4 linked regions of the Pelodiscus sinensis genome follow. The protein of the gene in region 1 binds, or shares a complex with, the protein of each later gene. Links are inferred from orthologs where the notes say so. Each region holds a gene or a part of one and is shown on either strand. Other genes may lie near its edges.

The links.
Region 2: TRRAP (region 1) and VPS72 share a complex: the UniProt entries of both Homo sapiens proteins name them as parts of the nuA4 histone acetyltransferase complex. The link is inferred for Pelodiscus sinensis from reciprocal best matches to the Homo sapiens genes TRRAP and VPS72.
Region 3: TRRAP (region 1) and MBTD1 share a complex: the UniProt entries of both Homo sapiens proteins name them as parts of the nuA4 histone acetyltransferase complex. The link is inferred for Pelodiscus sinensis from reciprocal best matches to the Homo sapiens genes TRRAP and MBTD1.
Region 4: TRRAP (region 1) and MORF4L1 share a complex: the UniProt entries of both Homo sapiens proteins name them as parts of the nuA4 histone acetyltransferase complex. The link is inferred for Pelodiscus sinensis from reciprocal best matches to the Homo sapiens genes TRRAP and MORF4L1.

Annotation. Positions count from the first base shown.
Region 1 is NC_134726.1:24,279,390-24,286,818, reverse strand, and holds the start of TRRAP (transformation/transcription domain-associated protein), read right to left. Parts: upstream 3,001-7,429; 5' UTR 2,853-3,000; intron 2,366-2,852; 5' UTR 2,269-2,365; intron 1,362-2,268; 5' UTR 1,306-1,361; coding exon 1,206-1,305; intron 843-1,205; coding exon 793-842; intron 1-792. Other genes in the region: TMEM130 (transmembrane protein 130), read left to right, coding at 4,841-4,922. UniProt on the Homo sapiens protein: Adapter protein, which is found in various multiprotein chromatin complexes with histone acetyltransferase activity (HAT), which gives a specific tag for epigenetic transcription activation.
Region 2 is NC_134734.1:15,612,258-15,619,509, reverse strand, and holds the start of VPS72 (vacuolar protein sorting-associated protein 72 homolog), read right to left. Parts: upstream 3,011-7,252; 5' UTR 2,920-3,010; coding exon 2,806-2,919; intron 1,766-2,805; coding exon 1,613-1,765; intron 1-1,612. UniProt on the Homo sapiens protein: Deposition-and-exchange histone chaperone specific for H2AZ1, specifically chaperones H2AZ1 and deposits it into nucleosomes.
Region 3 is NC_134730.1:15,381,825-15,389,630, forward strand, and holds the start of MBTD1 (MBT domain-containing protein 1), read right to left. Parts: upstream 3,015-7,806; 5' UTR 3,014-3,014; coding exon 2,909-3,013; intron 2,622-2,908; exon of another isoform or gene 2,599-2,621; intron 2,476-2,598; exon of another isoform or gene 1,971-2,475; intron 1-1,970. Other genes in the region: UTP18 (U3 small nucleolar RNA-associated protein 18 homolog), read left to right, coding at 4,067-4,312, 5,640-5,770, 5,958-6,053, 7,149-7,225, 7,742-7,806. UniProt on the Homo sapiens protein: Chromatin reader component of the NuA4 histone acetyltransferase complex, a multiprotein complex involved in transcriptional activation of select genes principally by acetylation of nucleosomal histones H4 and H2A.
Region 4 is NC_134724.1:1,223,555-1,230,864, reverse strand, and holds the start of MORF4L1 (mortality factor 4-like protein 1), read right to left. Parts: upstream 3,019-7,310; 5' UTR 2,924-3,018; coding exon 2,884-2,923; intron 1-2,883. UniProt on the Homo sapiens protein: Component of the NuA4 histone acetyltransferase (HAT) complex which is involved in transcriptional activation of select genes principally by acetylation of nucleosomal histones H4 and H2A.

The sequences.
Region 1 (7,429 bases):
TTAAATATCATGTGACATTTTTTATTAATGTGGATATACTTGCCCAAGTATTCCAGATTAAATTCTATTCGGCTAAAGTACCTAGAATTCAGTACTTCTAAATAAAAGCAACACATAAAAACAGGGGATTCCATTCAGATTTTAGCATAATATTGTATAATGGTGCCATTTCTTGAGCAACAAATGGCAAATCTAGTATTTCTACGTGGTATTCTTAAGCATCCCAAATGAACCTAAGCTATTTTCCCCTGATCAGCTGAACTGAAAAAGGGTCAGTGCTATCACCTTCACTTCACTGCAGTCCTCAAGGAAGGAATCCACACTTGACAATTCCTCCTTCTCACCTCTCAACTGTTGCATTACTCAATACAAAAAAAGCAAGCAAACCACTTCTTGGAGAGCTAAATGTGCATCTGAACTCCATTAGAGAAACAATTCCACAGACAAATGTATCAAGGTTATGCAGTAAACACATTTGATTAGTTTCTTTATTCAAAATGTACTAAACAAAGATTTTCTGTTCAAACAAATATTTGAGAAAAAAACCTGGAGGCTACAAGCTACGGACCTCTAATAATTCTGCAAGTGGATTGTAATGCACTCTAAACTTAATAATTAGTATATGTTTTAACTTTTAATAGCCATTACTCTTTGGTTCTGTGTTTAACAAAGAAAACCGGTATTTCCTTTTTAAACAATAAAAACAGGATCAGAAATCCAGATGACATACACACCAAGAACAAGAAATGTGGCATTTAGATCATTCAAGAAATACATTAATTTTGCAATTACCTCAAAATTCTCACTGACTTCTTGCATCATTTTCAATTTTGTTTCATCGGCTGAAAATTCACAAATTTGAGTGAAAAATTAAATATATGTGACAAAAACCTGACAAATACCAAACATTCACAGGTAAAAGAAGCAATCAGATCTTATCAGTTTAGCTATCATTGCCCAGTTATAAATCACACATTTCTCACAATCACACACTTTCATACTCACATTTCATACTCACACACTTCACTCTAAGGCTCATGTAAGTAATGCTCATCATTTTGCTTCTTCAAACAATCAAAGATAAAGAAAATGCAAAGTGAACTCCATTCAAATTTACCAACCAACTCTGTAGACAATATTACAGAACTCCCTGAAGCAAATGAGTAAAGAATCACATTTCCTTAAGAAATGGAAAATAAACTTACGAGTATTAACATCTGTTAGAGCAGCCACAAACTGGAGGTATTTCTTCATCAAAGTGGTTTGGTCAACCACGGTGGGCCCTTGCGTTGAAACAAAGGCCATTTTTGTTTTGGACCAGACTTGAGTATATTAAAAAAAACTGAAAAAAATCAGCCCACCTACAAAAATAAAAAAACATTGTAAATATGACAGCTTATTGGTGATTTAGTCCTGTGACATCTTATTTTAAAGGGGCACCATCAATTTAAAAGTCATATTTGTCATATTTATTTACATACAATTGCAACTTATATTCTAATTAACTGAAATAAGAGAAAAAAAGGTTACTTCATCTTTTACAGATTTGCATACTGAGTTTTCCATTTTCTTTGTATGGGTCTATCAAATGGCAACAGGGGAGAATAACAGTTTAAGGGTTAGGAAAATACAGTGATAAAGGCACACAAACTGGCATAGGGAAGTCAGAAGAAGATACACAACATAAAAAGTGTAACAACATATTTTAACTTGACTAGATTTCAAATTGATAATGTCCTTTTAAGTACCTCTCAACAAGGTTTCAGGGTACCTCAATCAAGTTTTTCCACAAACATGATCTGAGTTCCTAATATGTAAAAAGAACTTCAAAGCAGTAGCGTCTCAGTTGGTTTTAGTTTTCATTGTGTTACAGACCTTTACTGCTGACCTCATTTCACAATCCATGTTTATTTTCTATCATATCCAACATCTTAATTTGATTTAGCTTTCAAATCAATCTATGTTTCAATAGAAATACACTGCATTTTTAACTACATCTTTCTTAATCTCTATGCAAATACTGATTGTTTAGGCTAATCACAAAACCTCTCTGTTCCTCAGTGCTTCCTTAGCTGTAAAATGGGTAGTTCTGTAATCGCAAAAATGTCACAGAACTTTACAGGAGTTTTTTGACATTTTTGTGATTACAGAACTACCTCGTTTACAGCTAAGGGAGCACTGAGGTTTTGTGATTAGCCTAAACAGGAAGGCAGCTCATGACAGCACTGGAAATACAACCTTGAAGTCTCAGCTCCTCTCTATCCTTACCTTCTCTGTCTTGGTGGCTCTCTCCTGATTGAGGGTGCCACTTTCTCTTTGACTGGACTCCATCTATGCTGACCCCATTCCAGCTAGTGCTCTTGCTCTGTAATTGTGTGAAACCAGTTATGGATCTTAAAGATGGGCATAAAGGTGATATTGCATCTCCCTCTACCAACCCGGGTTTGCTCTGAGGTCAAAGCCCTTGGCATCTGTGCCCTCTCCCCAACCTTTCAGATCAGATCTCCTGACCCTCCAGCCTTAGATCCCTAAGCCCCACAAGCTAAGCCTCCCCACCCCTCACATCCTTTCCCTCATCCCCATCCCGATACTCCAACGCCAGACTCCTGCCCATCACCAGCAGGGCAGTCTCCCCCAGCGCCCACTACCAGGTCTAGGGCGCCCAGCTCACTCTAGGGCAGGGCTCCCCCACACACACACGCGCACCCCGCTGTAGGGCAGCCCCCGACAGGGCCTCTGCGGGACTTGCCTGCGCGGCCCCTGCAGACACACACCCCGACCCGCGGCCTAGTCCCCGAGCTCCCCCCACCGCCGAGTCCGGTCTCTGCCCCGCAGTCCGCCCCGGGCTTTACCTCCCTGCGCGGCCTCCTCGCTCGAGAGCCCCTCCTTTGTCGCCCTCCGGCCTGAGCCCGCAGCCGGGCGCGGCGCATGGGCCCCCAACGCACGACGGAAGCCGCCGGGGTTCAGTTCCGGCCGCCGCCGCTGCCTGCGAACGGCTTCATTCCCCGCCCCCGCACGCGCATCCCCGCCCCGCCAGCATCCCCCCGCTCGGCCCCTAGTCCGCGCGCGTGGGTGGCCCCTCCCCCTCCCAACAGCGCGCCGGTCACGGTCTGAGGGGGGCCCCGGCTGGGCGCGCTGCGAACCCTCCGCACCACACGCGAGAACCGGGCTCGGGGATCCCTTCCGGCCGCAAAGCGGGGGGCGCGGCCGGGCAGCCCAGCAGCTAGCGCCGCAGGCAGAGCGCCCAGACCCGGCCTGGCTTGTCCATTAGCCCCGCACCAGCCTTTACCCTCGGCCCTTGCAGCGGGCCCGGGCAGCGCCCTGTAGCGGGCCCCGCGGGAGCTCCCGGGCAGAGCGGCTCCCAGCGCGGAGCATCCGCCCTGCTGTGAAAGCGACAGGCTCCCCGGGCTGTGTGCTAGAGCGGAGGCTTCACAGCCACACGCGCTTGGCTCTCAATGCCGAGACCAAAGATGCCTCAACAGATCGGACACACACAGCTTTTCCCACTAGAAACAGGAGCAGGGAGGAGACGGGGACAGCTGAATGAAGCAAGAACACGGGATACAGAAAGTCAACTCCTGGAATACCCTGTTGGCCTGTACTGTGTATCATCATTTTTACCCCGCTCTTTGGGTGAAGATCCACAGACTGAGATATCAGTATATATTCTTCCATAGACCTGTACTGGACCCAACAGCTGGATTTTAATGAAAGCAACAACAACAAAATTCTCCCTAATTTGTTTTGAAAGACAGCTCTACTGGTTCAGTGGCTTTTGATTAATAAGCCGGGTGTAGAACAGAAAATAGAAGGGAATAAAGTATAAACGTTGGAAGATGGGTTGTGGAAGAAGTATTCCTGGATAGCAGTCAAGTTCAGAAACTTTATTTGCATGACAAACTATAGAAGTGTCATCCAACTTAGCAAGGTATACTGCAAGGAGCAATTAGTTAATAATAAAGTAGCTATTTCATATTTTGTGCTGTACCCATCTCTCTCAATCTATGCTTTGTACTATACTATTGTACAATAAAATATTTTTATTAAAAGCAGCTAATCCACCCAGCCTGCCATGATTCTCCAAAATCCTAGTGTCATCTAGTTTGTATGAAGGATCTCATGCAAAATAAGGCCAAAACCTAGGTGTTTGTATCTCTGCATGGGAGTAGTTCCAGTCTATTGTATGAGTCTAATTGCATCCAGAGACTTACAAGTTTTCAAGATTGGGGTCTTAAATGTTATTGGTTTGCACTGTGTTATGAGTGTATGACTCAAATTCATTACTCATCTGTTTTAGAAAGATTTTTAAGGCAGCATTTTTCTTAACCATCAGGAATATGATACAGGATTTGGGCAGACTACGTCACCTATTTTCTAATGGAATATTAAGCCCTACAGAAATCAGTCTGTTGTAACTTTTAACGTGGTGTTTTATACAAAAATCTGCAAGATACACATGGCCACGCATACCAAAATACATTTATTCTATTACCTTGTACCAGAAAACTGTTTTCAAAATTTTTGCAGCTGTAGGAGCTTTTCACTAGCACCCCCATAGGGATTTTCTCTGCCTCCTTTTCTAATCCATTGGTTTATACAGGTGTCTAATACAACTTTTCTAAACTAGTTAGGCGTGGGCAGGATTTGCCAGGAAAAAAAAGCAAGAAAAAAAACCCAGACAGTGCAGTACATCCACATTGCCTCTAGGTGACAGCAGTAGTGACTACTTGCTACCCACCTCCTCCCGGTCCTGGAGACAGAGTGGAGCCCACTTGGAAGATGAAGTCTGGCTATCGGAGCTGAACAGACAGTAGCAGTTTTCTCGGGGCACTGACTACAAATGGCCCTGGCTTTTTTCACCCCGAGCATCCTCCAAGTGACTTGCATGGTGCTGTTCCTTTTCCATTCCAAGTCAGCGGCAGGTAAGGTAGATCTGCGCCTTTCTCAATCCAGGGCTAATGAGCCAGGGGTCATTAGAATTCAGCCCTAAAAAGCAATCTTATGCTGCTGTAAACACAGAATGAATATTTATTTCCAGGCAAGCCCAAAACCAACTGAGCATTTCTATGGTTTTCCTGAAAATAAAATACTCTATCTGCATTTTCAGCAAGGTTTGCAGTGTCATATTTCTCCTATATATATATATAGAGAGAGAGAGAGAGAGAGAGAGAAGGGAACAGATTAAATGAGAGATCTTTTTGCCTGCTGCTAATTTCTGCAGTGCTAGGTTTCTGTGGAGAGTGATAAAACCCTGCTCTGAAACGAAGGGGTATAGTTAAACCTCCTAGCTTGAACATTGGTTATTTATAAGGAAGACTTTGTTTTCTTGTTCTGGGGTGGATTGTGTATTCAGGATCCTGCTTGAATAACTGGAGCAGGTGTGAAGGAGCTGCACCCCAAAGGGACATCTTCCCGTGAGAAGCTAGCAATAATGAGTAAGTTCTCTGGCAGAACAAAAGGGGGGTGGTGCAGCTATGTCTGCCCTTTTCCACCCACAAACCTCGATCAGATGATGTGGGAACTGCCTCTTCATGGTGAGGCTTAGTTAGCAACTCTGGAAGGAAGGGATCTCAGACAAGACTGAATCTATCAGCTCCCTTCTTTATTTCCATCTTGATTGGGATGCAGTGAAGCATCTCTGCTCCCTCACTGCTGTTAGTCACAAATGACTAAGACAGCTTGCCCCTCCTCTTGCTCCTTCCTAGCTTTGCTGTGTTGCATCTGAAAAGTGAGCCAGGAGAGCTGGGTTAAATACTTCATTCTGCCACTGATATATTGTGTGACCTTGAGCTAGCCACTTAATCTCCTTCCCACTCCGTTATCTTATTCAATATGTCCCCTCCCCAGTGTCTTTTTTAGATCTGCCACTGATTTCTGGTATTTTCCCCAATTTTTGCTGTAGCAAAATGGACAGTGAACTAAGTGCAGATTTTTAAAAGGTCACCTTCAGCAGGAATTTCAGTCTTTCTAGTTTTGCACCACCTACTACTCCCTGCCAGTGCACAATTTTTTGGATTTTCCCTCCTTTTTCTCATTGGCCTTCAGTGCAGCAGGACCAACTTTCAACCACACCGCAATTTAGGATATAAATGTTTCCTTTAAATTGGGGTCGGAGACTGGTTCTTACCCAGGTTGAGAGAAGTAGAAAAAGAAAAGGTTAGTGGAGAACCATAAAACAAAGTATGTTAACTTTGTTACACATAAGGCTAAAGGAAATTTTTTTTCTTGGGTTTAATAAGGAAATACAGGAATGAAATCTGTAATTAGTTTTGGACACTAATCTTCAGTCCAAAATTGTGCTAAGAAAAACATTGATTAAAGGAAAAATGTAGCCAGCAATGACTCTATTTAAAATTTGAGCTCTGCAGACATGCATCAGAACTGCTCACCCAAAATGTTTTCTCTGCACTGAAGTTGTGGTCTTTTTGGTTTTGGTTTTTGTTTTAAATGAAGCAGGAGTGACTTGAAATGGAGGTATGGCTACAAAAGCCTGACCCTAACAGGAAAAGTGAATAAAGGGATTCCCTGAGCAAAGTAATATGGTATTAACTTGTACAGTATTGTCAACTTCAAGAGATCTAAAATCATGAGTTGGACCCCTAAAAATCATGAGATTGGCCCAAAAATCATGACTTAAAAAAAGATTATATTGTTTTTTAATTCAGTCTCTTAATGTTTGAATTCCCTCTGCCCTCCCAAGGGGGTAGCATGTAACAATTAGTGTTGCCCTCTCTCCAACTTGCGTTGTATACGATTATTTTGACTCCTGCTGCAGGAGCTCTCAACCCCACATCTGCCCACCACCTGCCCAGCAATTATTCCTGTTCCCCAGTTCCCCGTCAGTTCTCTCCCCATCCAGTGCCCTCAGTTCAGACCCACTCAGTTCACTTCCCCAGCCCCCCATCATCACCACATCAACAGTTCAGCCACCCTCCCCCATCAACCCCACCACAATCAGTCCATCCTCCCAGCACTCATCCATCTGCTCAGAACTCACCATCAGTATGGGCCCTCTACCCCATCAGCCCTCACGCTCCTCACTTCACCGCCCCCCCTGCACCCTTCTGGCATAGTTCAGTCCCTCTAGTCTCATCTCTGCATCTTTTCACTCTCCCCATGCTTTGGGGTGGGAGGGATAGCAGTTGGTCCCCTCACCCACTTCGCAGGCTGCCATGGGAACTACCACCTACAGCTAACAATGGACTTCTCAGCCGCCAGCGGCTGACAGCAGGAGATCACCCAGCCCGGGCAGAAAAAAATCCTGAGATTTGAGAGTTCAATCACAAGATCATGGGCAAGACCTATTTTTCTTTAGAAATCACGTTTCTCATGATAAACTTGTGAGAGTTGGCTTGTCCATTCAACTTGTGAGCTTCAGTTTCTGGATTGTGCTGAAAAAGCCAGAGGAAGAATGCTTGTTGTTTTTGTA
Region 2 (7,252 bases), on another chromosome or scaffold:
ATATAATGCTGCTTTGGAGATTTCAGCCCCATTTAATTAAAGGGATTATTTAAACAAGGGATTTTGCTGCTGCTTTTTGCCAGAAGGCCCTTGCTGACATAAATGCCTTTTTTTTTTTTTTTTTTAAAAGTGCTCTGCCCGTAATACTAGTTACACCTTTGATTACAGAAAGAACATTTTCAGTCTCTGATTTACTTTTACTATTACAGGCAGTCCCCGGGTTACATGGATCTGACTTACATCGGATCCCTACTTACAAACGGGGTGAGGCAACCCCGCACTAGCTGCTTCCCTCCAGCAGACCAGGGAGACACGGAGCGGCTTTTCTCAGCAGACACCTTAGCTTGAGAATAAAGGACTGAGGGAAGTGAGGTGTGGGGGAATAAAATTGAGCTCTGGAGAAATGTTTGGCTAGAGTTTCCCCTACAATATGTACCAGTTCCGACTTACATACAAATTCAACTTAAGAACAAACCTACAGTCCCTGTCTTGTACGTAACCCGGGGACTGCCTGTACTATGGTCTGTTTATTATGGTTAGTTTCTAATCACTTAACATCACTCCCGCAAAGTAAGGATGTTAAGTATCGACTAATTAACTAATCGAATAGTCAATGCATTTTGCATCGATTATTTGATTAGTCAATAGGGCGCCTCCGCCTTTGAAGTATAGCAACAGCCCTAAGGGCTGTTGCTACATTTCAAAAGCAAAAGCACTGTGTGGAGCCCAGGCAGATCGCGGGCTCCCCCCGCACTGCCGCAGTGAAATGCCACAAGAAGCCCAACACCAGGCTTCCTGTGGCATTTTAAAGCAGCAGCGCCTTACAGAGCCCAGAGTCAGCAGCGCCTTACAGACCCCAAGCTCCATGTGGTGCTGCCACTTTGAAGTACCTCCTCTTTTCCCTCCGCCCTTGCTGCCTCTATCTGATAGAGGCGGCAAATGGGGGGGAAGTGACTGGTTGACTATCCTGTTGACTATCCGATAAGTGTTTACTTATTGGATAGCTGACTAGTCCTTCACATACCTAGCGCAGAGACCCAAAAATGGAACTCAGGAGTCCTGACTGCAAATTTCCTGCTTAAACTTGAGACCACACTCCATCCCAGAGCTGGAAATAGAACCCAGGAGTCCTGCCCAGGAGACTGCACTCCTGCTCTGGAAGACTATGCTTTCAAGCTTCTACTGCAGCTAAGAACATAAATAAAACAGCCTATAAATGGAATTGCTGTCAACTCCCCAGTTATCCCCTAAATTAGGTTATAATCTGGTTATACTGAGAGTTTTGCCAGCAGTTTTCATATGGGTCCCTCCCTTAGCCCCACAGGGCTATGTCAGAAACAGGGGTTAGCCAGCTGTTGTGTAGAGAACACTGCCCATCATACTGACTGTGGTTGTCTCATTGTTTTCTTGTGCTCCCCCATCTGTATCCACTTGGCACCTCCTGTCATCTACTCAAATTGGAAGCTCTTTGGGGCCAAAACCACCATTTTTTTCATGGGCCATACAGCACCCAGCACACAGGGGGGTATCCCTAATCCATGACTAGTGGGTGCTGCCAAATACAGAACCAGCGGGAGCCATCCAGCACCATGACCAGCTGCTCTGTCCTCACCTTGTAGGCTTTGGTGACCACCCTGCGTTTCCTCTTGGGCTCATCATCATCCTGGTCGCTGGCCGGCTCATCACCCTCATCGATGTCGAAGTCGGAGTCCACTTCGTCGTCGCTGTCCGACTGGTCGCCTTTGTACTCATCATCGCCCGACTCCTGCCCAGGAGATGGGGGGGGGGGGGGAGGAAACAACAGTCAGAAGTGAGTTGCCCCCACTCGCCCAAGCATGTTACCCTCCCATGGGCCCCTCTGCTCCCCACCCACACTGCCCCCACCCCAGCCAGTCCCCAACTCAACCTCCACAAGGGACTGATGCCCCCCCACCGACCCCCAGGGACACCCCACAGCCCCCGTATACCCCCTACAATCCCCCCACCACCCCCCAGGGACACCTCACAGCCCCCCCGTATCCCCCCTACAATCCCTCCACAGCCTCCCACCCCCCCCAGGGACACCTCACAGCCCCCCCGTATCCCCCCTACAATCCCTCCACAGCCCCCCACCCCCCCCAGGGACACCTCACAGCCCCCCCGTATCCCCCCTACAATCCCTCCACAGCCCCCCACCCCCCCCAGGGACACCTCACAGCCCCCCCGTATCCCCCCTACAATCCCTCCACAGCCTCCCACCCCCCCCAGGGACACCTCACAGCCCCCCCGTATCCCCCCTACAATCCCTCCACAGCCCCCCACCCCCCCCAGGGACACCTCACAGCCCCCCCGTATCCCCCCTACAATCCCTCCACAGCCCCCCACCCCCCCCCAGGGACACCTCACAGCCCCCCCGTATCCCCCCTACAATCCCTCCACAGCCCCCCACTCCCCCCAGGGACACCTCACAGCCCCCCTCGTATCCCCCCTACAATCCCTCCACAGCCCCCCACCGCCCCCCAGGGACACCCCACAGCCCCCCTCGTATCCCCCCTACAATCCCTCCACAGCCCCCCACCGCCCCCCAGGGACACCCCACAGCCCCCCTCGTATCCCCCCTACAATCCCTCCACAGCCCCCCACCGCCCCCCAGGGACACCCCACAGCCCCCCCGTATCCCCCCTACAATCCCTCCACAGCCTCCCACCCCCCCCAGGGACACCTCACAGCCCCCCTCGTATCCCCCCTACAATCCCCCCACCGCCCCCCAGGGACACCTCACAGCCCCCCCGTATCCCCCCTACAATCCCTCCATAGCCCCCCCACCTCCGTGAAGCCCCCGTAGGTGGTCTGGTAGAACTCATCCTCCTCCGCCTCCAGCAGCCCCGCGAGCCGGTTCCCCGCCGTGCGCCGCGGCGCCCTGCCCCCCGCCAGGCTCATCCCCCAGCCGCCGGGCCCCGCGAGCGATTGCTCAGGCCTGGCCCAGGCCAGAGCGAGCGCACCGCCGAGCGAATCCAGCCCACGGAGCGCCGAGAGATCGAGGCGGGGAGGCGCGGCCAGTGGAGAACCATGGAGCACCGAGCGATCGATGGAAGCCAGGCTGCCCAGGTAGAACCCCACTGGGCCAGCTGGGGACAGAAGCAGAGACAGGGACAGCTCCTCTACTGCACGTTCCAGAGAGCCTGTCTGTGTGTCTGTCAGCCCCCCAGCTGGGGGACATGAACCCCTCCCCTAGCTGTGCCCGCTGGAGCTGTAGTGGCCATGGACAGATGCTTCTCACTTGGCCCCAAGCTGCTGCGGTGACAGAGGGCTGGAGTGGTCCTCTCTCCCCAGGGCAGCCTGAATACCGAACCCCACGCCCCTTTGCAGAACAATGATTTAAATGAAAAAAAAAAAACTTTTTTGACTTGAGCAATGCCGGGTTCGTCTTCTAGTAATACAAAAAAAATCATCCATTACTGGCCATCTGGATTTTGATGCTAAAGGTGTTGTTATTTTCAATTTTCCCTGCAGCCATGAAGCCTCCTGGTTTGAGCTGGGAGGCTGACAGACTTGTTGGGCTCCTGGGCAAGGCTGGGCAGCTCCATGCTCCCAGAAGGGGCGGAGCCTCAGACAGGAGGGGGCGGGATTGGGAAGCCCTCAGCACCACCTGGAGCAGGGATGAGTAAAAGGGCCTTCGCAGGCCAGATCTGGCCCACCAAGTGCGTTGATCTGGCCTTGCCTCTCCCCCACCCCCCAGGCCAATCAGAGCCTAGGGATGGGGGAGCGCACAGCACGGTGAACCCTGGCAGTTGACTCTAAGCACCATGCGCTAGAAGGCAGGGAATGAGCAACTTTGTGTGCTCCCCCCCCCCCCCCCCGCCACCCCCAGACCAATCAGGGCCTGGGAGCAGGGGAAAGCACGGGAAGTCTCTTCCCATCCTGCCAGGAGTGTACGGCACTTCTAAGCGCTGCATGTTCCTTGCAGAACAAGGGCAGGGCGGGAGGAGACTTTGCATGTTCCCCCCATCCCCAGGCAAATCAGGGCTTGGGGATGGGGGAAGCGCACAAAATCTCCTCCTGCCCTGCAAGGAGCTCAGTACTTAAAGTCAACCACCAGCTGCTGTTCTGCTGGCGGTTGACTCTAAGGCTACGTCTACACTGGCACCCTTTTCCAGAAATGCTTAAAACGGAAGGCTACGTCTAGACTGGCCCCTTCTCCGGAAGAGGCATGCAAAGCAGGCAAGTCAGAATAGGGAAATCCGCAGGGGATTTAAATATCCCCCGCGGGATTTAAATAAACATGGCCGCCGCTTTTTTTCCAGCTTGGGGAAAAGAGCGTCTAGACTGGCGCAATCCTCCGGAATAAAGCCCTTTTCCGGAGGATCTCTTATTCCTTTTCCGGAGGATCGCGCCAGTCTAGACGCTCTTTTCCCCAAGCCGGAAAAAAAGCAGTGGCCATGTTTATTTAAATCCCGCGGGGGATATTTAAATCCCCCGTGGATTTCCCTATTCTGACTTGCCTGCTTTGCATGCCTCTTCCGGAGAAGGGGCCAGTCTAGACGTAGCCGAAGAGTTTTCCGTTATAAGTATTTCCAGAAGAAGCGCGTCTACATTGGCAGGATGCTTTTCCGGAATAAGTGGCCCAGTGTAGACAAGGCCTAAGGGTGGTACTCCCTTGCAGGTCTGGGGCAGGAAGCAAGAAACTTTGCGTGCTCCCCCTCCCCCAAGGCCTGATTGACTTGGGAAGCAGAGGGGAAGCACGTGAAGTCTCCTCCAACCATTGGGGAACGGGTGCCTAGAGAGAACTGCCAGCTGTTCAGAAGAGCTGGCAATTCTCTCTGCAGGGGTGAGAGACAAAGACTTTGCGTGCTCCCCTGTCTCCAGACCAATCAGAGTCTGTGGGTGGAGAAGCACTGAAGTGTCATGGCCCTGCCCTTTCTGCCTGAGGTCCCGCCCCTTCCAGCAGCCTGGGGCCACTTCAAACATTTCTGAAGTAGCCCCCAGTCAAAAATTATTGCCCACCCCGGCCTCGAGTGTGCCATGCTGCCCTCTCTCCCAAACCTCAGAGCCACCTGGAGCACGCCATGCAGTGCTCCCATAGTGATTTACAGGGCCCAGGCTCCCACCACTTCTACTCCACTCCCTCTGAATTGCCAGATCCCTTTGTCTCCCCATCAATGGGCCTGTGTGTGGACAAAAAAAATACTGTAAGCATCTAACACAGTGGGGGTTTGTCCACAAAAGCTTATGCCCAAACAAATATGTCACAGGACTCCTCGTTATAATTCCACCACAGCACAATGGGTTTGTGGCCTCCAATGGGAAATACATCTGCCCATTGGTCTTATCCCAGTGTAAGACACAAAGATCCATAGGCCAGATTCAGTATGCCCAATCCTATTGAAGTCAACAGCAATTGCATTCACTAACAGCAAGAGATTAATTTGGTCCACAAAGAAAAATAAACCAAATCTTGACTCTCACTAGCACTGTCTCTGCAGCGGAAGTTTTTTGAACACTTTCCACGAAGCATGCCTTTGTTATGGGGTGTTCATTTCTGATTTCTCAACATGATTAACTCATCTTGGTTATAAATCTAGATTGATAATATACCCGGAAGAAACTTACAAAACTCAGCTAATAATGCATGATGAACTAATTATCTCTTGATCGGCTTTGTTGCTAAAATATGTTCTGTGATTCTGAATTTGGAACTTTCAGGTTTTTTCACACCATAGGACACAGGTGCCAGCTTCCTCCTTTCCCCAGGAGTGCTCAACCCCAGACTCAACCTCCACTGTATCCCTTCACCAGGCCCCACCCTCACCCTGCCTCTTCCTTTCCATGTTGGGCCCCTGCCTTGCCTCTTCCTGGCCAGTTCTACCCCTTCTCCTGAGTGCTCCTTTCCAGCTCTTCTTGCACACTGCAAAGCAGCTGATTGTAAAGGCCAGGTGCTGGAAGGGAGGGGAGGGAATTGATCCTTAAGTCCCTCTGGCTGGTGAGATGTTCTGGGGAGGGGAAAACGAAGGTGCCTGCCTCTGAAGGAGGAGGGATAGCTCAGTGGTTTGAGCCTTGGCCTGTTAAACCCAGGGTTGTGAGCGCAATCCTTAAGGGGGCCATTTAGGGATCTGGGGCAAATCTGTCAGGGATGTTACTTGGTCCTGCTGTGAGGGCAAGGGACTGGACTCAATGACCTCTCAATGTCCCTTCCAGCTCTATTAGATGGTATATCACCATATATTATTATTATAAGTGCTCATTGTCGACCTAACTTACATCTTCATGCAGCCACTGCAGCTATTGAATTGCTTGTGTGCATGCACGCTTGGCTCCTTGTGTTGGTGGATACTACCAGGAGCTCTAGTATCCATTGTATTGCCAGTGTGGGGCACTGTGAGACAGCTCCTGACAGGCACGAACAGTTGACATAAGTATCTCAGTGTCTACACTGACGCTGGGTCAGCCCTAATTTCATTGACCATGACTCTACGCCGCTTGGGGAGATGTATTACTAATTTGGCATAGAGAGGCACATAAACACCAGTCGGAGCCAAATGTAAATGAAGTCACTTCCACAGCCAGATCACCACAAGGCAGCTAACATTGACCTGTGTACTGCAGACCAGGCCTAAATGTAGGAAATCTAACTTGACTCACTTGGGTTTTAGTTTCAGGTTTGCTGGGACCAATAGCTCCTCCTCGTATAAGTGGTAAGAAATAATGTTTGGAGATTGTATGATAACACTCATTCCATTACCTATCTGATCTCACATCCTTCTGCTCTTTGCTGCCCTTTAAGATTTCCTCTCTCTCTGGCTTGATTGATGGTTACCCTGCATTGGAACAATATAATTTAAAACCCGCTTTGCATTAATGTAAATAACAACGCAACACTCAAGACAATAAGGAACCAGGCTGAGAATCCAAACGGTGCATGTGCATTGCTGTTTGCTTGTGCTGCGTTGTCTGTCTGAAATTGCTTTTGCTTTCTGAGATTCATTACAGTGTTGTCTAAAGGTTCGAGCGCAAACATGGGAATGAAGTTAATGTTCATGCATATTTTTTTAAGTCAATGTGAACTTTGCCCGAGTACAGACTGCAAGGCGACAGGCTTAATTATTGTGAGACAAAAGAGGCCAGCTCCTTCCCTGATAAAACTCCATTGATTTCAAGGAAGTTACATCACAGATAAATTCAGCCCAGGATATGTGCAGACCAGATGTAGGGGCATTGTCACTGACCAACGGGTAACGGCTTTCAAAGCCAAAGGTACTTAGGGGCCTACCTCAAA
Region 3 (7,806 bases), on another chromosome or scaffold:
CGCGGAGCGCCCGGCCAGCTCACAGCCCAGACGCGTCCGGGCTGTCAGCTGATCGCACGCTCCGCGGCTTGGCTCTGCTTTGCCCCCTCCCCCTGTCCTCCTGGTCTGCAGACCAGGGGGACGGGGGGGGGGGGGGGGGGGCAAAGCAGAGCCAAGCCTCGGAGCGCGTGGGCAGCGGACAGCCCTGTCCGCTGCCCACGTGTTCCGCCGCTTTGCTTCCTCTCCCTGGTCTGCTGGAGACCAGGGAGAGGAACGCCCCGTTCGTAACTGCGTAACTCGGGGACTGCCTGTACAAGCAGTTTTTAAGTGAGGTGAAACATGGGGGTACACAAGACCAATCAGACTCCTGAAACGGGAACAATAGTCAGGAAAGGTTAGGGGCACTGTTCAAAAATACACACACAAAAACTGAACGGGTTATACTGCAACTGTTTTAAAATCAAAACAACTTTCCTTCTAGCAACTTATTAAAAATGTAAAGCTTTAGCATAATTGTGTCCGCTGTTGCACTGTGAGGAACAATTGCACTGTTGCACAGTAGGAAATGCAAACAATTTAGCAACAATCCAAATGTAATTTCTGATTCACTGGAATTCCAAAACTGACCGGCAAGTTTTGGACAGTGGTTTTACTTAAGTAACACGTCAAATGAGTAGCTGAAAAGCTATAGAAATACACTTTTGTCTTCAGTATCTGCATTTGACATTTTATAGTCAGTTTTCCCTGTCTGTTTGTGGCCTCCATTTCACAGACCTTTTGCACAGCAACTGTTAACAATTCAGCAACTGTTGAGCACTGTCAACAGGCTTAACTGTCAGTTGACTGTGCTCAGCACCTTGCAGAATCAGGCTGAATTTTAGGGACTAAGGGGGAAAAAATCAAAGTGCAAGGAATGCGAACCCTTAAACATTTTAACCAATGGTCCTCCAACTAGTCATTTATTTTTATAAACCAGAAACTAAGGAAATATTGCTTCCCCACTCCAATCCTGTTTCACAGTATAAAGTTATTCATATACCTAAGAGTTTTCAGGACCCAAGTCTAAATTGCTGGTTCCTTTGTATGTTAACTTCCAGTTGGGAAACTTGTCTTTCCTATGGTTTCCAGTTGTCCCTGTGACAACTTGTTCAAAAAAAGCTAGTTAAAATAGAATTACAAAGCTGCTGTTTTATAGACTGAGTGCCCTTTTCCCTACTACTTGTATGGTAAATTTAGTACAGATTAATTTTTCTTTCAGATTGGTTACCTAATATTATTAAAAATGAAGTATAATTGTGTTATTTACCTTGTATAAAAAAAACAAACTTTGAGACCCCAACACTAAAAATATCAAATCACTAAGTCCTGGTCTACACTAAGGAGTAATTTCAAAATAACCCCCATTATTTCGAAATAAGCGGAGCATCCATATTACCAAGCCTGTTATTTCGAAATCTTTACTCCTGCTTTCCTCAGGGAATAATGCTTATTTTGAAACAGTTATTTGGAAACAGTATTTGTGCGGACACCTCAGTGCTGCGATTTCAAAATAGCTACTCCCCATAGTAATTTGAAGTAGTTACTCCCCAGGGTATCCTGGGACTCTAAGTCAAAGGAGCACATCCACAATAATGGAGCCTGCGTTGTACTAATTTTGAGGCTTCCCCATAGTGTGGGCATACTATTTTGATTTTGCTCTTTCAGGTGTTATTGTGCTGAATTTAGTTATTTCGAAATAATTTCCTAGAGTAGATTTGCCCTAAACTGACTCTCAAGCTTTAAATGACAACTTCTCTTTAAAAGGAATGCAACTTTTAAAGAGGCACTACCAATTTATAAATATCCCCACATGTACATTTTGCAAGACTAAAGTTTTATGAAGACTACCATCACCAACTAAAATGGCTAATCAATTTAAAAAAGTCTACTATAAATAGCATCTCTTTAAAACCAAGAAGTTCCATACAGTACTTGGAAATCCATCTACAAACCTGAAAGTGAAACTATCTTCAAAGTTCCATTGCTCAAGCTGCGAGAAATGCCAAAAGCAAACCAAACCATGGAGTTACACACTGGATTTATAAAAATCCAAAATTGTAAATAGTAAAAGTAAAGAGATTGCAACATTTGAAAACGCCGTGTTTCATTAAACCCTCAGAGCAAACGCCTTAATTGCAAAAAGATAATACTACAATAAAAAAAGTATTCCCTCTCTTGTCTCCCCCACCAGTCAATGGGAATCACAGCAGGTCTGAATTGTTCAGTTAAAAACAAAAACCCATTGCCATTGCTATTGTTTCTGGTTGTCAGGAGAGCCTGCAGAGACAAAAAGGCAGCCTGCAGAGAGATGAAATCTAACACAATCTTCTTAGGGGAAAAGGGAGCACAACAAAAGGTAACCCGTCTGATGAGGGTACTGTCCTCTCCCACATCACCCGTTTCTTTCCCGGTGATGACAGATATTGCAATGTATTTCAGCGAGACATTTAAAGTCTCTCTCGTAACACTGCGGAACACTCCCCTGCTCTGTGCTCATTCACTGTCCCAGCATGAGTACCTCCAGGTAATTATACTAATTGCATATCAACTGGATGCTACTCTGCATTTACTGCAACCTACTCTGCTCGCAGAAGAGTCTGCTATGCAGATTGAAGTTGCACGAATCAAACTCCTAGCGAGAGCTCTCCCAGGAACTCAGAGAAGCCTGCAAATCACCGCAGAAGGAATCGCAACAAAAGAGAGCAGCGAAGCAGCCCCGGGATCAGAGCTGCAGCCCTCCCTCCCCGCAGGCACACACGAGGAGGGGCGGAGAATCCGGAGAGGAAGACAGCAAACTAGCCGAAAGCCCCGGAGCTCGTAACTGCTGCTGTGCCCCCAGCCCCCAGCGCTTTCTCCGGGCACCCTCGCGCCGCGGCTCCGGCTCCCTCACCTCCCGCGTGCCCACGGACGGAAGAGGATGGGGGATAGAAATGCTGCAGCCGCGCTTCCCCTCTACTTTGCCCCCTCCCCGCCTCCAGCAGAGACAGAGACTCATGAAACAACAGAAGCTGGAGGGTGCTCCTGGCTGCTCCCCTCCCACACAAACGCTGCGGCCAGCACAGCTGCTCGGCTCCCTCCCCCAAACACAAGCTCAGTTCCCCCCCTCCCAGGTCCCACTCTGCAGGCTGCCCCCCATGCCCGCACTGCCCCTGCATTCCCTCCCCACGGAGTGACCCCCCCGGGGGCTCCCCCTCACAAGCACAGCCCCCCACGCTGCGTTACCTCCCCCAACACAATCCACTCCCCCCCCAGGTAAGCCAGGCGAACCCACCGCAGAGGCGGCCGCTGCCTCGTCTCCCCCCGGGGCTGCGCTACTCACCAGGTCCTTTGTGTTTTCCATCAGGCCCTCATGGGCAGGGGATGCCTGCTGCTCTCCCCCCCCTTCCCTCGGCTCAGCCCCCTCCCTCGCTCCCCCCTCCCCTCCGAGGGGCCGGGCCCGGCTGGGGCAGGAGGTGGCCTGGAAAGTTCAGCCTCTCACTTAGGCAGAGAAAGAAATTCAACTCCCTGCCCAGAATATCAACAACATTAGCATAACCGCAGGGCGCAGGCGCAGCGCCCATCCCGCCGCGCGCTCTCATTGGGCCCCCAGGTCTTCGGATCCTCCTGGCTCGCCGTATTCCGTAGGGTGAAACTATTTTGTAAAAGGGGGGGCTGGTGGGAGAGTGCTCGAAGCGGCGTGTCAAAAACAGACTGGTAGTTGGCGTGTTCGCTGCTTCTGAGCCCCGTGTTACCGTTTGTGAGCCGCGCTCCTGGAAGATTAGGCCCTATAAGTGGGACTGGTCCCTTCCGCGTGAGCAATGGAATGGTCCGGCCTGGGAACCTATCACGTGGGAAGCGGGGGGAGGAGGGAAATGGATCACGTGAGACTGTCTTGCCTGAAGGGGGCGCTGACTGAATCACGTGAAAGAGGCGTGATGGGGGCAGAGAGCCTATCACAGGGTGGGAGGTAGCTACTAGGTCACGGAGGGCGGGACTTGTTTGTTTCTACTTCCGGTTCACTAGTGACGCTTCCGCTGTGGGCACGGTAGGCTCTGAGGTGGGTGTGGAGATGGAGCCGGCAGCTGCTCGTGGGAGCCCCGCGCGGAAGCGCGTTCGAGCGGAGAGGAAGCGGCGGCAGTCGCCGCGGGCGGGAGACTCCGGCGATGGGGGCGAGGAGGCCCGACGTGCCCGGCACCTGACGATGTTGTCCGGGAAGCCGGAGGTGGAGCGGTGCCTGGAGGAGCTGGTGTTCGGCGGCAGCCAGGAGGCCGAGGAGGAGGAGACGCTGCAGCGGTTGCGGGCCCGGGGCAAGAAGGTGAGGCGGGGGGAGGGGATAAGTAAAGATCGGAAAGACGGGGGTTGGCGGATGTAGAAAGGGCCCCACTGAGGCACCCCTCCCCGTAAGCCTCACTTCTTCCTGCGTCTGGGTGCGCTTTCCCCGCACGGGGAGTGAGCATGCGGCGCTCCCTGTCCGCAGCACGGGTTCAAATAGCCGTGTAGCTGGTGCGGTAATGCTTAGGCGAGTAAAGTCACCCCCGAACCCTGTGAGCATGTGGCCACTTGGTGCTTTCCTCCCCTGCCATTCGTAGTGGTGTAGTGTCATGCTGCCTCGTCCCGCAAGAGCCATCCACTTCCATGTGCAGTTAGTCATACTGTAGACACAGTTGAGTTTTTGCTGCAGCACAAATCTACACCATTTGTACTGTGTGCTGCAGTCAATGTAGGCAAAGCCTCCCCTTTCAACTGCTCTCTGTTGGGAAGGGGAATAGGCCCCTGACTAAAGTCTTACTTACATTTATATGTCTTATTTATATGGTTAGAGTTATATGTGTAAAATCTTACTTAAATGTATATGTGGCTTATTTTTCTGGGCAGTTTTAAATATGAAGCATAAAACTGCTTTGGGTTGCTTGTAGCAATAGCCACTACATTTGTAGGTAGTGAACTAATGATGTTAAATTTAGATTAATCAGCTAATGGAATAGTTGATGTAATTTGCATCGACTATTCAATTAGTCGAGAAGGGCACTTTCACCTGCTGGCTTTTGCTACATTTTAAATGTGCAAGCACCACAGGGCCAGCGGGGCATGACACATCTGATGGGGAGGTGGGGGAGGAAGCAACTAGTCGAATACATCCCTATACTGAATGTGGGTTCGCAGGCAGAATCAATTTCAGATCTAGTGGGACTTTTGGCATTAAGAGTGAAAGACCTAGGAATACAGCTGGAACTTACTGAAAATCTTGCTTAAAGGTGCATCTTATTACATGTAGACTAGTCTGTCAGTAGCAATAGATAGGTGGCTTTTTTAACAGATGTGTCTTTTTAGTATAAATAAATTGTTCTCTAAACTATGACCTTTCCTGAGAAATAGTGGGTATGGACTATGGGAGGGGAGATAACTGCTTGTCTGATTCTTGTGGTTGGGGTGGGCATTTGGAGGAGGGGAGCATTAGGAACTGCACTCTGTATCCCTCCTGGCTCTACACCCAGCATGCGGAGATGGGAAAAGCAGTGGTTTTACTACGATTCTTTTATTTTTCCCCTATGGAAAAATGTCTTTTAAACTTTCTCTGTTTAAAGTTGTAAATATTAAATTTGTCCAGTGTTTGACCATATGGTATGGGTTTTTTCTTTAAGCTTGATACTGTCACAGGAAATCTTCTAAAAGAGGACATCAGTGACTCAGAAGTGGAGAATGAAGCAAAAGATAATTTTCCTGCATCTAAAAAACCTGCCTGGGTGGATGATGATGATGAAGTTGAGGAAATGTGAGTTAAGCTCATAATGTTATGATGTGACTGGAAATAAGGGGAAATAGAGGTATTGACTTCAAGAATTGGAAGAAATACTGAGTGTGTTGTTCTAAATGGCTGCTTTTTGAAGTCTTCAAGAAAATAAGGATTGCTACTATGCTTTTTGCAGTTTTAGCATTGAGAATATGGCTTTGTTTCCTAGAGTTGACATGACACATCGTTATCGCAAAGGCATGATGAAAAGTGATGCAGAGAAGAAGCTTACCAAAGAGAAACTTAATCAGAGACTTCAAGAACAGTAAGAATTGTTAATGGATTATGTTAGCAAACTTTGCTGTTAATTTTAGTAACATAAGATATGTTATGTTCAAGTAAGATTTGCTCTTTTTTTTTTCTTCTCCTTTTTCACCAAGGGACTTGGGTGAATAACTTAAATTCCTTAAAGCTAGTCTGCTTAACAGCATCGACCATGTTGTGAGGACTTAACAAATAACTAGTATAATGAAAAAAACCCTACATTCTTAGCATGTGATTGTATTGCTTGTCATTGAAGCTTTCAGCTGCTCTGTGGTATGGAGAGGAGACTATTGAAAGCTTTATTGTCATTGGAGCACAGTCTTGTTTCTGTTTCCTTACCATTATATGACATAGGAGAGAAGTTAACATACAAATTAGACTTCATAAAATCCGTTAAGCAACAAAATAAGTAGCTTCATCAATCAAATGCATCCAACCCCGTGGGAGTGAGGCAGGCTGTTGCAGCCCAGGTTGGCTGGAGCAGCCTCCTCACTCCCCTTTTAATTGGTTAACCAGTTAAACATTACATTTAAACAGTTAACCATTTAAACAGAATTTTACATATAGCATAATATTTATATGCCCTAATTATTGCATGTGTGTATTTAAGCATCCTTTTTATTAGGGATTTAAAAATGCACCCATGTAACTGCCAAAAATTATAGTGGTTATATGTGCTGTGGGCTCTGCAGAGGTGTGCAAGGAGCTGCTTTAGCCCCTACCAGTTAAACGGAACTGGTAAGCCTTACCTCTTAAGGGCAAAGCTTACCAGTTAACCTTTTACAGCACTATTTCTTATATATGTGAACTTTGCCATCTAGGCATGTATGAGTATAACATTTTATATATGTATGTCATTTAGTTCAGATTTTCTGTGCTGAATCAGTTCATGGAAGCTAGAGTAGAAAAGATCTATTTAAAAACAGCAAAAGAAGTCTGGCTGCTGCATCTGAGTGAGATGGTGTAATTGTTAGGAGGCACTGTTTTAATGTCTACCTATTAGTGAGAGAAAAGTTGCAGAAAAATCAGTTTTTGGCAGTATGATACACAAATCATTAGAAAAGAATGGGGCTATGAAAATTGTCCTTTCTTTTAGATTTCAGAGAGCTATGGGAGGCGTGCCTTTCTGGGCCCAGAAACACAAGAAGAAAGCCAGAAAAAATGCAAATGATGGTAAATATATTTAAATACATTAGAAAGGCATTCGCTTTTCCAACATGATCCTTTATTTTGTGTGACCTTTTAGAAAGTCATTTGTTGCCTGGCACGTTTCCTGCTTTAACTTTTACTGTGTACTGTATACCTGCTGCTTTATGCCTTCTCTGGCCATGTCTACGCTATGCCGAAGTTCAACTTTGCCACAGTTGATCTTCTGGGGTTCAATTTAGTGGGTCTAGTATAGAACTCAGAGGGTGTCCTGATCAGCTCCAGTATGTCGTCTCCTCTCGAGCAGTAAAGGAAGCTGATCTCCCACTGTGTGGATGTTGCGGAAACACGATTTAAGATCTGTTGACTTCAGGTATGTAATACACAACTCCAGCTGTGTTAATCTTCAGTTGTTCTGCCTCTGTGCTTTAGCTTATTGCTTTGACTCACAGCTGCAGAGAACTCAAAAGATAATAAAGTTTATATGGAGACGCAGCAAGAAATTACACACTTAATGCTCAGTTTTAAATTTGTTTTAACTAGATGATAGTGATGAAGATGATGAGCTGCTTCACAAGACTGGCAATTTTGTGTCTGCGTCAGAGACT
Region 4 (7,310 bases), on another chromosome or scaffold:
ACCCCCCACACCATGTGCAGGGGCTACTCCAGCCCAGCTGCTTCTGGTCCCACTCTGGGCTGCTGGCTCCCAGGCTGCAGGGGCTAGGAGTGGGGAGCCTTGTCTGGGGCTGGAAGCAGCAGTCAGGAGGAGGTGGAGAGGGCTGCTGGCTCCCAGGCCACGCAAGCTAGGAGTTGGCAGCCTTGTGCTGGGCCGAAAGCAGCTGCTCCCCCCCAGCTGCCCCTCCCAACCCCATGAGAGGCTGACGACTCCCAGAGCTGGCAGCCCCATGGGGCTGGAGCAGCCCTCCATCCATGGCTGGCCACTCCTGGGTAACGGTTAACCAGTTATCTGGCATAGGGATGTGAATGGGTAAGCAAAAAACAACAACAAAACACAAGTTGCAAGGATTGGGGCTTCAATGCTTAATGCTGCAGTAGTTTTACATGTGTAAGGTGAATTCTAATGTATTATTCATTAAGGACCTGGTCTGACTCCCAGGGAAATCTTTCCATTGACTTCTGAAGGGTTTCAATCAAATGCCATCTGCTGGATCCAGATCCAGAATGGACAAGATACAAGGCAAAAGACAACTTTGCAAGTTAAATCTGTTTTTTTTTTAAATAAGCAAATACATACTGCTAAATCCAGGGGAAATTTTTAAAGACCACTTGCTGTCAGCTTCTCTAAAGCTAAAATAAAAAACCAACTGGCATATTACACACTACACCAGAAAGTCACATCAGCACAAACAATACCACTTCCCATATCTACGAGTACAATTCAACATGTACATTCAAAACACCCATTAGTCTTTCAAATTACATATTTAAATATTACCCTTACAGTTGTCATTTGTCTATTCTAAAAAACACCACCTATTTTAAAAGCAGATTTTATTGAGTAAGTTGCATCTTTCATGAAAAGTGTATGTCATGTTTCAGCTTGATGAGAATTAAGGCCTGGTCTGCATTACCATTATCTCAATGCACGGCAGCTTATGGCAGCCTATGCACATGTTTACACTAAAATTTTGCCCTAATCTAGACAACATAAGGTAACACAGCAGGGCATTTCACTCTGCATTGGCCTAACTATGCTTCTCATGGATGTAGCATCAGCAGTGCATTGCTTATAGTGACTATTACTGGCTTCCAGAAGTCATCCCACAATGCCCCACACTGATAGTACAATGAGTACGAGTGCTCCTGGTGAGCGCACACACGACTGACAGAAGAAACCAGACACACACAAGTGATGTAATTACTGCAACTGCTGGATGCCGACGTAAATAAGGTCAACTTAATTCTGTAGTCGAGTCATGCCCTAAAATATTATGTCTAAAAAAGGGGGGGTTGTTATGAACAGAGATCACCATAGTTATAACAGTGTTGCACATCACCACAATAATCAGCATACTGTAGTTTACAATATCCTTAAGCCATATTTAATAAAGACTATGTCACAAGACAAGATACAAGATCTCCAACTGGGCGAGCTTATAAAAATAATTTAAGTAATGAAGTAAACATACTTCTCAACCTCAAGAAAGGAAAATCTTGACAGTCCAACTTGATAAAAAAAATCTTTCAATGGCTTCAATGCCCACTGATATCTATCAGAATGCTTTGACACACACCGATGAAAAAGACAAAAGTCAAGCACACTCTAAACAAAGGAACAAGTCCTGAGTCTCCTGGGTGAGCTGAGAGCATTGAGAAGTATGGAAAAAAAACAAGAGAATTATCTAAGAGAAACCACTGCCATTTCCTAATTCTCTGCACGCAAGGGAGCTGGAACATCCTAAAAGCCCTCTGCCCCTCAGGTACCACACAAGGGAGTCCAAATTTGCTTAACTGAGGGCCTCATTGAAAGACTGCCAAGAAGCTGCAAGCCCTCTGTAAAATGGAGTACCTATACTGCAGCTACCAATCGAGTAGCTGGAGGAGATGGCTTCCAGCAGGGAACCATGCACCTAGATCTAAACTGAAAGGCCATTCTGTTTCACCACAACCTGCCAGGATACATCATCTCCATGGGTCATAACTGACCTCGTAGGCCGTGTTTCAACCCTGCAGCCCACAAACCACTCTCTCAGACACACAGTGCACACAAGCTGTGTGAAGCACAGATAGTGACAGTGGTTTCACCTACAAGCAACTGGGTGAGGAGGTTGTGTTTTGCCTTTTTTCAAAGAACCATCTCTTCCTTTTAGCCCTCCGCTCCCCCACTGCAGAGATAGGGGGGAGGGACTGAAGCTGGAAGATTAAAAAGGGCCTTTTTTCTGGTCCACACCCCAGAGCTTTGTAACTACTGGAGCATGGATTGGCCACAGAATCAGCTTCCCAGTCCCCACTACCCCAACACCCTGTCACCCCCAGCCCAGCCAGCATCCCCTGCACCTCTCCAGCCTCCCACAGGGCTCCCAGCCCCATTCCCAGCCAGCCTCCCATGGCACCCCCAGCCCCACCAGTACCCCCCACCCCAACAGTCCCCAGCTCCCATCCCCCACCAAAAGAAACTCCTCACCCACGCTCCAACAATGCTCCGCAGCCCCCCCAACAACCCCCCACACCCACCCATCCCCCATCCCAACAATAGCCCCCAGCTCCCCTCCCCCACCAACAGCCAGCCACCCCCCTACCCTCCCCCTACCCATCCTCCCCCACCCTCCCACAGCCCCCCGCACGCCTTCCCCAGCCCCCCAATAGCCCCCCCAACAGCCCGCGCTCCAACAGTAGCCCCCCCTCACATCCCCCCCAACAGCCAGCCTCCTCCCCCATCCATCCATCTCCCATCTATCCTCCCCCCCAGCCCCCCCACTCTCCCCCCCAATAGCCCGCGCTCCAACAACAGCCCCCCCCTCCTCCCCCCGCTCCAGGCCGCCCCGCCGGCCGCACTCACCCTCCTGGAATTTGGGCTTGGGGTCCTGCTTGGGCGCCATTTATAAGAGCCTCGCCCGCCTCCCCACCCCTCCCCTGCCGGCGGGGCCGCGCCAGCGCCACCGCATTATAGCGCCCAGCCCCGCGCCTCTGCGCATGCTCCCGCCGCCGCGGGCATGCCGGGACTTGTAGTCCTGGGCGGGGCCGGCCCCAGGCTTCCCTGCAGCGCCACGTGCGCTCTGCCCGGCCGGGGCGTCCCGTGGCCAGCTGTGCCCAGCGCCCGGCCCTGGCTCGGAGCAGAGGGCTGCGCGCTGCCCTTCCCTGCACAAGGCACAGGCCTGTGTCGGGCCCTCCCCCGCGCCCTGTAGCCTTTGCAGCCTGAGCCCCTTCCGTGTGCTTCTCCCATCACTCCTCCTCCCCGGCCAGCGGCCCTTCGTTTGCATCCCCCTGCCCGAGCCTGGGGAGTCCGCGTTGCTCTTAGACGCCTAGCAAGCCAGCCCAGGACCCCACGCGATCCTGGGGGAGTCTAGGGAGCTGCATGGAAAAACGTTCTCCTGGGAGTATAGGGGAAAAAGGTTGCGCCCAACGTGGGGCTCGAACCCACGACCCTGGGATTAAGAGTCCCATGCTCTACCGACTGAGCTAGCCGGGCTCTTGGAAGCTTGAGTTGTTTGGTACTACAGTTGACAGTATGCCTCTCTCATGCAGCTTTTCTCAATGTGAGGCTTTAGGCAAAGGATTTAACAGGGCTTAAAGGGATTTCTGGATTACTGCTACCAGTGTCTGTCTCCTGCATTTTGCAAGGGATCCCCTGCAAACGCCCCCTTGTGGCCAGCTGCAACCTGGATCTCAGCATGCCACGGGGCATAGAATGGGCACTGGGAAGGGATGGGTGGCCAAGGTGTGGGACGTTCATGCAGCTTCCACAAAGGCACTTTGGGAGAGGAGCCCCGTTAATCTCCCTGTTGTTTCAGCGGATTGTGTCCACACCATGCCCAGCCATCAATAGGCCTCCTAAGAACAAGCAATTCACTTAAACCGCTGCCGCACTTGTGCCAAAATGTGGAGACAAAGCTGTTTTGTCACATGGGTTGTGCCCACGAAAGCTCATGATGCTATATTGTGTTTCCTAGTCTCTAAGGTGCCATAGGGCTGCTCGTTGTTTTTAAAGCGACAGACTACCACGGAAACCTCTCTGAGGCATTTTGTTCCATGTTTTACTGTTGAAGCTGCCCTGCTGCCTGTGTTTAAAACCAACCGGCAAGCGATGGCTTTCCTCTTCTCTCTTCTTCAAAACACAAGGAAGCAGCTTTCTTTTAAAAAATTAATCCGCCTGCAAACTCTCCTTCTGGACAGCAGGGTGCATGAAACTAGGACCCACCTGTGAACAATTCGATTCCAATTCACCTTCTGTCTGTGCAGACCGACCTATAGCACCATCCCAGCAGGGCCAGGTTTCAGGCTGCTGAAGAGTTCCCAGTTTCAGGCACAAACCCCTACTAGTGCCTCAGAGTCCAATGGCTTTAATTCCCAGTCAAGCCTGAAAAATTGAAAACTTTATGTTCACCCGGTGGAGCCCCTTTGCTCTTACAATATATCTGTGCTTCTCAGTGGCTAACCAGAAGGGCCCGCTGGGGTGGCCCCACCTTCTGGTGGGTGGGTAATGATTGGGGTGGTAAAACCCCCGCATGCTGGCTGGGGTGCTAGCAGAGTGAGGTCAGACCAGCACCCTAGTCCAGGCGCAGGTGTGTCAGCCCCTATGCCCGAGCAGGGTGGACCTGGATGAAAAATAAGTGTGTCATGGCCCACCCACGTCAGGCCCACCCCCGCTAGACTTCTGCTTTTGTTATTATTTTCACGTTCATTGGATTAAGAATATTCAGATTTTGAACATGGGGTGAGCTATGATCAGAGTGTTCATATATTAACCAACACAAATGTGAGATCAGTTAGATAATAAGTTGTAGGGACCTGGGGACTGCTGGTTTGGCCATTCACAAGCACAGGTGCAAAATTCTGTGACTGTAAAGTCCATACCCATGGATGAGTGTGGTTGTGTGCAGCCTCCCCTCATCTAATCTCTATTTTTTAAAGGTTACAAGACTTGAAATCCTGGGGAGACTTTAATTGATGTTGATGGTCTCTAAGCCTCGCCTACACAGGTGTATGTGCTTCATCTTTTCAATATTTTCAATAAATATTAAAAAATGAAGCCCGCCAGTTAAACCTGGCACCGAGCTGTGTTTGACACAAGTAAATGTAAATCCCTTAAGATATTAAATATCCAGGGGTTGATGGCTGTGTGGGCAGATTTAGCAGTGTGCTGGGTGCACCCTGTGTTCGGTACCTTACAGTTTTACTAGATAATATCTCACTGCTCCTGCTGCTGCCCATAGACTCCAGTGATGTCAAAATATACCATGACTGATTAAACCAGTGTTGGGGAAATCTCACTCCCCTGGGGTACAGAACCCCCAGAAGGGTCCGAGGCTGGAGGTCAAAGCAGTGAGGCAGGAGAGAAATCTAGAAGGAAAACTTTATTATGCATGCATGCAGGCTGACAGCTACCAGAGTGAGAGCAGCAGCAGCCCTGAGAGACAGGTTCAGGGATCCTTTATACAGTATGCTCAGACAGTTTAGTTGTTGATTGTTTTCTTTAACATATCAAAGTCTCAGCAGAAGTGAGGTTTCTGTTCACACCAGAAGTGCTAGAAGTAAGTTTTACAGTACAAAGGCACATGAGAACCTGAGTGAGGAGTCTACAAGGCAAACTGTGACAAAGATAAGAGTTTACATGGCAATTTGTGACAGACTAGGAGTCTCCATGAACTTGAGGTAGGAGGAATTGTAAGGGTCTTGATTAGAGTTAAGATGATTTCTCTCTGTTACAGGGAGAGAGGCCTGGAAAACTTTTAACCCTTACAGCAGTTTTCTTTTAGAGAGTTTTGATTTCCTGCACAGTCCCCCCTTAGACACAATTGGAGTTATTTGATTTTTCTCCCACACCAGCAAAAAAAAAAAAAAAAAGTTCCAGCTGTGAATTAAAGACACCAGCTCTGCAGGAAATAGACACTTTTCTCTCTCTGCACTGAGGAACGCTGGTCTTCAGGCTGAGGCACCCTGAAGCTCCCCTCTCCCATCACCACTAAGGAACTGGAAGCAGAGAGCCTAAGGGCAGGTTAAGGAGGGCTTCAGGGACTACAAGTCCAAAATGCTATGAAAACATATGGAGTTTCCCCTTCTCTATCCCACCCCCTTACCTAGCATACCTGCTGGCCGGAGCTGAGCATTCTACCCCTTAACTTTTCATGCTGGGGGCCTAAACTACCCCAGTGTGCATCGTGCCGTGATTTTAGTGCTCATCTTCCTGATTGCACACGCTGATTATTGGGGGCTGATTTCTAGAATCCAACAATAATGGATTATGGCTGGAAAGCAGGAGTTCCCTTAATCATAGTGAGGAAATGTTGTGTGTCTTGCTGTACTCCCCCCCCCACACACACACACACTGCCAGCTACCATGCTTCACACCAGAGGTGACTGCTTTTCAGTAATGGATCCCTGTTAACCTGCAGCTTGTACTAGAAATGTAAATTCCCATAGAATAGATAACAGGTTAAACTTAAAACAGGGATGGCCAACCTAACCCTGAGAAGGAGCCAGAATGTACCACTGCACATGGACAAACAGCCACAGTTCTGTGTCACCAGCCCAGGGCCAGCCAGAGCCCTTTTGGCACCCCGGGCCCGGGCGCACAGTGCTGCCCCCGGGTGCACGGCGCATGTGCGGGCCCACCTGTGGGGCCCTCCCAGGGAGCACGGGCCTGCCCCTGGGGTGCACAGCGCATGCATGGGCTGGCCACAGCCACTGGTGCGCAGCCCGGGGCCCACCCCCGGGGCACATGGCGCATGCGCTGCCCAGCCCAGCCTGGCTAGTGTTGCTGGCGCATGCGCCGGGCAGTGCAGGGCCCCACGGTCGTGGGGGGAAGGGAGCTGCTGGCTGGCGCCGTGGTGCCGGCACTGTGGGAGCCAGGCGCATGGCGCCTGATGGCAGCTGTAAGGGACACCGCGCGCCCCTTACAGCTACCATCAGGCGCCCCTCATCAGTTGGCACCCCGGGCAGCTGCCCAGCTAGCCCATGCCTCAGTCCGGCCCTGCACCAGCCCTGCTCATCTCCCCACCACCACTCTCAGCACATCCCCCCATGGGCAGCCCCACCGGTCAGTGCCGCCTCCTCCTTTTCCTCCTGCCCACTGCGATAAGCTCTCTCAGTGGGAGACACTGGGAAGGGGAAGCATGGGTGTGACTGGCTCAGTGGAGAGGGTAAGAAGTGGCAGGATCCTAGGCGAAAGGGTTGGAGGGGGACAGCGCCTAGGGCAAAGCTGGGGGTGGAACAGAGAGCACCCTACAGCCCAGTGGAAAGTTGGCAGCTGTAGCTCCATCCCTGGAT